2 linked regions of the Xenopus tropicalis genome follow. The protein of the gene in region 1 purifies or fractionates together with the protein of each later gene. This does not show direct contact. Links are inferred from orthologs where the notes say so. Each region holds a gene or a part of one and is shown on either strand. Other genes may lie near its edges.

What was found. The genes of interacting proteins can lie anywhere in the genome.
Region 2: the proteins of wasf2 (region 1) and brk1 purify together in Homo sapiens (co-immunoprecipitation; 3 studies listed by BioGRID and IntAct, with this or other methods). This does not show direct contact. The link is inferred for Xenopus tropicalis from reciprocal best matches to the Homo sapiens genes WASF2 and BRK1.

What each region holds. Positions count from the first base shown.
Region 1 is NC_030678.2:78,053,568-78,058,398, forward strand, and holds the start of wasf2 (wiskott-Aldrich syndrome protein family member 2), read right to left. Parts: upstream 3,151-4,831; 5' UTR 3,123-3,150; intron 3,120-3,122; exon of another isoform or gene 3,103-3,119; intron 1-3,102. UniProt on the Homo sapiens protein: Downstream effector molecule involved in the transmission of signals from tyrosine kinase receptors and small GTPases to the actin cytoskeleton. Promotes formation of actin filaments. Part of the WAVE complex that regulates lamellipodia formation.
Region 2 is NC_030680.2:128,858,211-128,863,177, forward strand, and holds the start of brk1 (protein BRICK1), read right to left. Parts: upstream 3,113-4,967; 5' UTR 3,096-3,112; coding exon 2,978-3,095; intron 1,062-2,977; coding exon 979-1,061; intron 1-978. UniProt on the Homo sapiens protein: Involved in regulation of actin and microtubule organization. Part of a WAVE complex that activates the Arp2/3 complex. As component of the WAVE1 complex, required for BDNF-NTRK2 endocytic trafficking and signaling from early endosomes.

The sequences.
Region 1 (4,831 bases):
AGTCAATTATAGCTCTTATTGGCACCACCAGGAACATTTTTCATGCTTGTGTTGCTCTCCAAAACTTTTTCCATTTGAATGTGGCTCACGTGTATAAATGGTTGGGGATCCCTGGCCTACAGCAAGGCAGGAAGGATTCAGACTAATCTTGAATGTCAGTTAGGGTGAGTTTTGTGCTGAAAACATATATCCTAGTCTGGGAACTAGGACTGATACAGGAAAGTTTCCTTATATTTTGCCTATAGAACACTCACCAAAGGTTGAACCAATAACTTGAACAAAAAAAAAAATAGTCCAACTATCTGTGCACTAAATAGAAACGATGTAACAGTTACTGACCTATTACTGTAAGCCTTCCTGGTTAATGGGTAACATTAAAGAGCAGTCACATTGACACCAAAATACAAATTCAGAATAATTAAATGATCAGTAAAGCCTCACTACACATTGATCTTAAAGGGGTGGTTTACATTTAGTATGTATAGAATGGCTTATTCCTAGCAAGTTTTCAGTAGGTCTTAATTTTTTTTTTTGATTGTTTTTGAATTATTTGCCTTCCTTACTCTTTCCAGTTTTCAAATGGAATCACTGACCCTGGTGAGGCTACAAATTTATTGTTAATGCTATTTAGTATTTCTTATCTATCTATTTAGGCCCTCCTACATTCATATCCATCTCTTTTTCAAACCACTGCCTGGTTGCTAGGTTAGATTGGACCCTATAAAACAGATATTCCAATCTGGAGGGCTGCTGAACAAAAAGTTAAATAATTAAAAACTGCAAATAAAAAATGAAGACCAACTGCAATATGCAAAACATATCACTCTTTACATCATATGAAAAGTTTATTTAAAAGTGAATAACCTCTTTAATATGGATATTACAAGACATGGGCCTGCAAGGTCCTACCACATACAACAGCCATATGGAACAAATTCTAAATCTATCAAATCCTGTAACAAAAGCTTTAGCTTGAAATGTGCCCTTTCTTACAATAAAGTTATGAATATGTGCAAATCATGCACACATAGAGAGTAGTAGTTAACACAACTGCCCTATTGGGTACAGGCAAGGATGAGAAGTAAACTACTGATCAGAAGCCTATGCATCTAGGGAGAACATAGACAATATCTTTAATTGCATCAGGAAAACTATACCCTATGCCATGTAGCAATGACACCAAGCAAATATGATCTGGGCTTATTTGTCAGTTAACTGCCTTGATCAATGCCAAGTGATCGCAATTACTAGCAAGTGAATTCACAAAGTACGTGGTTTATAAATTTCTCTATGAAAGAAAAAAAAAAAAAAAAACACTTCTGTTATAAAGACTACTGATGGTGGTTGTCCCAGTATTAAGTAATCAACCTATCTTAGTAAATAAGTGGTAATAAACTATTTCAATAAATAGATAGGAGATTTGTACCTGGAAACTGCTAGAAATCCTTTATATCCATAACAATGGACATTAATAGACATTAATATTGGCGCATGCTATTTAGAGTTGGCCACCAATATTATCTTTAATAAAAAAAAAAAAAAAGTCTTCCTTCAGCAGTAACGTATTTAAAGGAGACATATTGGATAAATGGGAAAAACCCTTATCCTGTAGGCAATTATGAATAATATACGGTGCTGGTTTCCCTTTGGGCTAAACATTAATCCTATCTGTAACAATGGCCCCTTTATTGGAGCTCCCTATAGATCCTATCACTTCTCCGTCCAGTGTGCAATGAAGAGTGGGCGTGTCCTAACGGTCCCTGCCAGAAGCACAGTAGGACGGGGAGAGCCAATCACAGCCCTGCACTCCCACAAGCAAAGACAGGCTTCAGTTCCCTATCAGGTCAGCCTAGCTGCTGATTGGTTCCTATCCTACAGTGCAGTGTACTGAGGGCTGCCGGCTCCCCTGCTCATCCAGAGAATTCAGCCAGTAGGAAGTGGCACAGATGGGCGGGGCTAGTGGGGTTTTTGTGGAATTTTTCAATAAATCAGTCTGAAACACAACTTTTTTAAGCACAATCCTTCTATATCTAGAGGAGTATAATTCACTGGTACATTCATAATTTTTATAGGATATGTCTCCTTTAAGGTGCATAATTTGTTCTAAACCAGTTCTTGGGTCATAAGGTTAACTTCTGGATAATTTGGGTCTCCTTATAAGAAACAAGTTACAGGGGTTTTCTACCCAAAAAACATTTATTGCATAATAAAATAACATGTAATTCTAAGCAACATTTCACTATACATTAAAGATATTCCATAGGTTTAGGTTTTTTTGTATTTGCTATTAAAAGCAGGTTTGTTAATCCCTATCAGTTCTCTGGTTCTGACTCTTGAAACTAAGTAGAAGAAGCCAGTTCTCCTTCAGCTCATCTCTGTTGACCGACTTGATGCTGCTACTTTGTTTCTATTCAGAATCAAAAGTGCGGAGAATATAAACAACCAGACCGATACTGCTTTCAAAAGCAATTGCATTTACAAATAACTCAAAAAACCACTGAAACATTTAAATGAATGTATATACAAAAGCATATGGAAAAGTTGGCCTAGTTTTTCAGGGACAGGATGCAAGGCCCAGTGGAACACTGACTGATAAGTAGTTTTAATCTATGTTTATGAAAACTATATTTCCAAAGTTTGGGTTGGAGGCTAAAATAACTTTGCTGTGGGCCTCTGTAACTTCTAATGTCACTGCCAGCTTTGTGATGGAAAATAAAAGGCCTTAATAAGAATATCCTGGGGCCCAAATAGGTGTAGGTCCAGCAGAATCACATACATACAAAGCAGCCAGCAGCTGCACTATATACTTTTATGTAGGCCACTACTTCTATGTTGTTTAGGCACTTTCCCAATACTTACAAGAACCTGCATTAGTAGAAATGCCATGTACACTTTACTACAGAAACGCGAAAGAGGTTATTTCTCCTGTCCACTGTTACCATTACAGTGTTAACTATCGTATAAACTTACATTTTCGGTAATTACATGCAATTCACAAATATCAAGCATTTCAAGTTTCCTTTTTCAGCCACACCATATATAGCACAATATCTAGAAGAGTATAAGTAAAGTTTGCAGTGCTCATCCTGCTATACATTCTACCAGTGTAAGAATCTTTTTACCTGTACCCGGGGGATCTCCGCTTCTGACACCGGGAACTAGTATCACAGAAGCAAACTCGGGCACCGCCCCACCTAGTCCCGCCCACGCAAAGCAAAGATTGGCTTCGGCTGCAGTTTCTTCCTCACAGATTGGTTCCTTTCACTAACCTCCTATCTTTAATTGGATGAAAGTGCTTCCGCTCGGCTTTTGGTAGGCTGCATTTTTCTTCCTTTATTTCACTGATTGGCTGAGTGCTCGGTGCCGTAATAAACTAATTTTTTTTTTTTAACTAAACTTTTACGCAGAAAAGTTAGGTACTTATGGAATGTGTTATGAACTTGTAAAGTGTAAGCTGTAGTGGCACGGTCACCAACTTGTTTCCAGTTGCTTAAAGTATTTCCTTGTTGGCTGTACCTTTTAGGTTCAAGGTCTTTTTTTCGGAGAAACTGGTGCTTCTAAACGTTCTACTGTTGTGTAAAGATGCGTTATTTTATAAGTTAATATCGCTTATAATGTGAGCACCTAACAAAACGAGATGTCACCAGATTTTACACCTTTTTGAGTTGCAGTAGATACACATTATTATTACCACCCAACTGTCCTGATTTTGAAAGTTCCTATTTTCCCTTTGATTTCCTGCACTGAAGCTTAAAAAGATACAATGCTTCTCAAACTTAATTTAAAAAGTAACTTTTGGCAGAGAGCCCAGAAATTAACAAGCTACACTTGCACTTAGATACAATTGTAACCAATAAGCTAAACATGTCTCTTGGGGGAACTGAGACTTATTAACGTAAAGGGCAATTTCACCTCTTTTTTTAGCAAAATGGGAGTGATATTTAGGGGGTGTGGTTGCAAAAATGGGCGCTACACACGCCATTTTCTTTTTTCCCTCTTTATATTTTTCTAATGTTGGGAGGTATTAACATTAATAGGCATTAGCCACAGCCCCAGCATTTTGGAATAAACTGTTTTTGAAACAAAAATTTGTATTTTACACATAAAAAAGTAGTTTATCGTTAAAAATAGATGACATACATGGGCATTGTTTTGCTGGTTTTAGCTGGCTAAATCAGGTGAGCATTATTGAGAGGAAACTTCCACGATGTCACTGAAATCGCGCCGCCGCGTATGCCATCCCACTGGCGATTTACGTTTTCGCCGGTGGGATGGCATTTCGGGGAGATTAGTCGCCCGCGAACAGGGAGATTTGTCGCAGGCGACTAATCTCCCCGTGTGCCAAAGCCCTTAGGTGTAAAATCACATTGTTATCTGACTGGAGGTAATACCCATGAGAATAACAAATGTAGACCTGCACTGATGAACCAAGAGATGAGATATTACCTCCTAGTTCAGGTGATAATGCATGGGTTAGTTCATATTGACCTTTAGTGAATATACCCATAGATGATGGTGGAAGAATGAGGCAGTGTGGATGTGCACAGGGGAAGAAGATGTGTAAGGGGGCATTGTTGTGGGAAGAAATTAATGCAATATACAGTTCCAAAAAGTCCAATAACAATATTGTAGTTACTAGTCAGTTTTGTAACTAGCATATAGCTGACTCTGTGAATGCTGGGGACCTGCACAGTCCTGGGTTTCACTGTATTCTTCCAGCTTCCTGCCGCCACTTGCTTTGGCTGGTAGGTAAGGGAGCAAGGGCGCATATACATAGTGGGAGCTGGGGTTTCCCCACCCCATGTGGGGGACCAAAAGTTTTCTTGCTGTG
Region 2 (4,967 bases), on another chromosome or scaffold:
ATTTTGCAATTTATTTAAAAGGCCACTATACCTTTATTTGCCATCTGCATATATTAAATTCAAATATCCATGTTTTAAAGTATGCTTTTCTTGTTTTAGCTTTATTAGCCTAGGTTGTATGAAGGTATTACTAGCACACCTAAGCAGCCATTGTTATTTAGCTTCCTTCCCTAGGCCTCCACTTGTGTTACAATACAAATACATGAAGCCAGAGTGTGTGTGTGTGTCTAGGGCTGCATATATTACTGGGATGTGGCCATAAGGGTACAATGCCCAAGGTTGTCACAGCTAGCACAGCGAGTTAATATAATGCTATACGCCCTTTTGTGAGCACCATTCTGCTAGCGGGTATAGTGGCCCTTTAAGTAATTTTTAAGCTGCCATTTTCAAGAGCAAATTGCTGAAGCTGACTGGCAGAGGGCCAAGGATTTATTTGATATGCAGATGGTTTCTCCAATAGCCACCCCTCAGTCTCAAGGCATTTGCTGCTGTACCGACAGCCGGGGAGATGGTACATGTGCCCTTTGGCACAGAAGAGCTTTATTAGTTCATTGTGAATAAGCATTTGATTCTCTTGCTTATCCAACATGAAGCTTGCTTAAAAGCAAAAAGGGGGCTTTACACATAGCCGGCATATGGAGAGTTCAGGTGGCATTCAGTGCATGTCAGCCAGCCAGTAAATTAACAGTGGGGGCAAAAGTATTGGGCAATATATCTCCATTATATATTTCCATTAGATGGTCACATAGGGTGTTTCAATCAATGCTATTTGTTTCAGTGGCTAAAAGACCCACAGATTTCTGGGGGTTACATCACAGGAAGTCACAAGGTCAGCATGTACAAGTCATATCAGGTCAAGGGTGATCTATAAAAGGTTCCTATTAATGCCATGGTTGCTTCCTAGTGACAAACAAAATATCAGTATGCCCCATGTGACATTGTGCCCCCCACCAAATCAAAACATATAACATTACATACCCTTGCTTCTATATACTCAATTCTTCTTTCTAATGCAGTCAGCTTTTCATTTAGGGTTGCCAGTCGTGAGCGACAAGACATATCTTGAAGAAAGCAGAGTATAAGGTTACCACTGACCAACGCATTTCACAAGTCAGCCATAGAGAGCACTGCCTATATTTGCAGTGTAACAAAAAATAAAAGATACCGATAGACTTACATGCATTGCATTAACAGGAACTACTACATTTGCAGGAACTGGGCAAAAAAAAGGGGAACTCCACCCAAACACAATTTAAGCTTTTTAAAAAGAAAACATAATTTCAAGCAATACATCAATTAAAAAAATATGCAGTTTTTTTTATGATTTTTAATATGGTTTGGAACAGTTCCCTAAGCCCAGCCCCCTGTTCCTCTGCAGATCTACTTTGAGACTTAAATAAAGTAGTCGGCTGCCCTCAGCCTGCATCCTCCCAATCCCATAATCCTTCTGAGGGAGCAGCCCTGACGCCGCCTCCCCTTTCCCACCCTGCACTTACAACTACAGCATCAGTGGGTCAAATGGGTGGCGGAATCACTAGTGCACAGACCACTTACCAGAGGCAGCTTTTTGCCACCCCTGGTAACTGGCCGATCACACCATGTGTGGTGTGCCTTGCCTCATTGCAGGAGTGGCCCTGTCTCTGATTTTGTTATTTCTTGCACTAAACATGGCAAAATTAGAAAATGGAACTAAAATCACAGTTTCCTTCCTGGTCCTAAAGAGCAATGTCAACCAATACTCTCAATATTAGTGAAATTAGTCCCAATTTCTAATTCTGCGGTGCTTACAAAAAACCATAAACGTTTCCTTACAGTCAAAAGTATGTTCAGCACAAGACCTATATATTATCCAATGTTTAAAAAGAAGGCATACGGTCCCTTTAACCATGGCACTATGCTTCACACATGAGGCAGATGTGGCACAATAAGGCAAAGGCACCCAGCAACAAAGTGTCCCTAATTTGCAAATACTGCCAACCAGGATGTACTCTGTGGTTCAACCATGCAGATTCATGTACTGCTTAGAAAAGGTGGCCAATAGGGATGCACCAAATCCATTATTTTGGGGATTTGGCAGAACCCCAAATCCTTCGTGAACAATTTGGCTGAATACCGAACTGACAATTGGACAATTGAGGGTTAAAAAAAAAAAAATCACCTGATTTTAAGAATTAGGTTTGGCGAGAGGCATAGATTTGTGTGAGAATCTTGGCAGAATCCTGGATTCAGTGCATCCCAGTGACCCAATTACTAGTGGATGTGAGGAAAGAAGCATTAGAGGCAGGTCCATTAGCCACCATCACCATGATCACTGCATCATTCCTACAGCCTGTGCGGGCCCTCCATCCCCTGCTCACTGTAATGTACCTGCTTTCACTCACACAGTGTAACATGCTGCTTTCATTCTCCCCCTCTCCCTGCTCATAGACATATGGGGCTTATTTATTACAGAGTGAAAGCCAACATCACTAGGGATGTTGCCCATAGCAACTAATCAGCAATTAGATTTGAACAGTTAGAGAACAAAAGCAAAGATCTGACGGTTACTATGGGCAATATCCCCAATAAGGTTACTAATTACACCCCCAGTGTAAATGCTGCTTTCACTCTTACACTTCACTCTATATATAGTGTAATTACCCACTGCAATGTACATGCTGGGATCTATATAGTACAGTGTATAAATTGCTTTTGTTTGACACAAGTAATGGAGTAGCAAGCCATGGTTATATAGTGTAGGCACCATGGCCATTGGTAAGATAATAACAAGGCGACACTGTCACACTGGAGGCTGTACAGCTACTGGGATGCACAAGGCCCAGAGGATTCTGGGAGCTGCAGTTAACAGGGCAGGATGGAGAGGCTGGCATCCTATACACAGGCGCTGCCCATCGCCCAGGCATACAGTGCCCAGCCCTGCCGGCCCTACGCCCTAGGAAGGATCCCCTGCAGGACACAGCGCCGCCCCCACTCTCACCAAATGAGTTCAAGAAGTCGGCGATTTTCTTGATGCTGCTGGTGATCACCTCGATGTACTCCCGGTTGGCCCAATCCTGGTGAATCTCTCTCTGCACAGGATCCTCCTGACTGGCCATTTTAGCCTCTCTCCCTATCTATAGCACAGCCAAGGGAAAAATACAGCGTCACCTACTGCGCATGTCAGAACGGAAGCGCCCCCAGCCTTCACCAGTGGCCGCCATCTTTAAAGTGGACTCAAATGAATAATGCAAGCATCAAGAACATAAGTGAGACGTGAACAACCGGAAGTTACGGCTTATAAAGGTTCAAATAACAAATGTCACTATATTTGAGTGTTGTTCAAACCTGTGCTTTCCACCCCGAGTGGTTTTTACAAGCCGATACAAATATGTCTGCCGCTGCGTCGGTAGGCTCTTCTGCGCCTGCGTATCGGCCGAAGCGGAACTGACGTGCGGAATGATGACGGGCGTATGAAACAGGTAAGGGCTGGTGCAGGTGCAGGGGGTTATAAGCACAGGTATTATGGCGATTGGGTAGCTGCTGGATTGTGTAAATCCCCCGGGAACATGGGATTAGGCGTTTCGGCTGTCCGATAGTCGTGCGGGAATCCATTGACTCTGAAGCTCTCTGCAACACTCATGACGTAGCCTGGAGGTAGCGGTGATGTAATATGGCAGCTTTCTCTAGAGACCTTTATTCCCTGAAATCAAACACTGCATGCTGGGAGAGCGGATACTATCTTACAGGAATAGATAATAAAGGGTAACTAAAATTGCCTGTAATTAGGATGGCAGAGCAAATATGTTCATTGTTGGAGAGATACTACTTGAATGCACTGTATGATTAAGCACAACCATAAGCTGTTATTAGTTATAGGCTTCTTTCCTGTACTGTTTGCCTCATTATGGACTATGGATACTGAAGTTTATAGCTACCTGCTAGCTGCTAGCTGCCCCTTTACTAGTATGGGGGAAAACTGGCCAAAGGGCATTAACTCATAGCAGCCGGTTATTCGGTTTTATTTTAATAACTACATTAAACCAGTCAAAGCTAATGTTTTGTGTTTGAATGAAAAGAAATATTGGTGCAACAACATGGTACAGGTATGGGGCCCGTTATCCAGAATGCTCGGAACCTTGGGTTTTCTGGATAAGGGGTCTTTCTGTAATTTGGATCTCCACAACTTAAGTCTACTAAAAGATTATTTAACCATTAAATAAACCCAATAGGGCTGTTCTGCCCCCAATAAGGGGTAATTATATCTTAGTTGGGATCAAATACAGGTACTGTTTTATTATTACAGAGAAAAGGGAATCATTTAACCATGAAATAAACCCAATAGGGCTGTTCTGCCCCCAATAAGGGGTAATTATATCTTAGTTGGGATCAAGTACAGGTACTGTTTTATTATTACAGAGAAAAAGGAAATACATTTTTAAAAATTAGAATTATTTGCTTATAATGGAGTCTATGTGAGCTGGCCTTTCCATAATTCGAATGTGTTGGTAATGTGTTTCTGGATAACCGATTCCATACCTGTACTGATATTGTTTTACATTAATGTTTAATTAAATTATCCTTATACAGGTATTGGACCCCTTATCCGGAAACCCATTATCCAGAAAGTTACGAATTACGGAAAGGCCATCTTCCATAGACTCCCATAGACTCAATTTTAATCAAATAATGCACATTTTAAAAACTGATTTCCTTTTTCTCTGTAATAATAAAACAGTACCTGTACTTGATCCCAACTAAGATATAATTAATCCTTATTGGGGGCAGAACAGCCCTATTGGGTTTATTTAATGGTTAAATGATTCCCTTTTCTCTGTAATAATAAAACAGTACCTGTACTTGATCCCAACTAAGATATAATTACCCCTTATTGGGGGCAGAACAGCCCTATTGGGTTTATTTAATGGTTAAATGATTCCCTTTTCTCTGTAATAATAAAACAGTACCTGTACTTGATCCCAACTAAGATA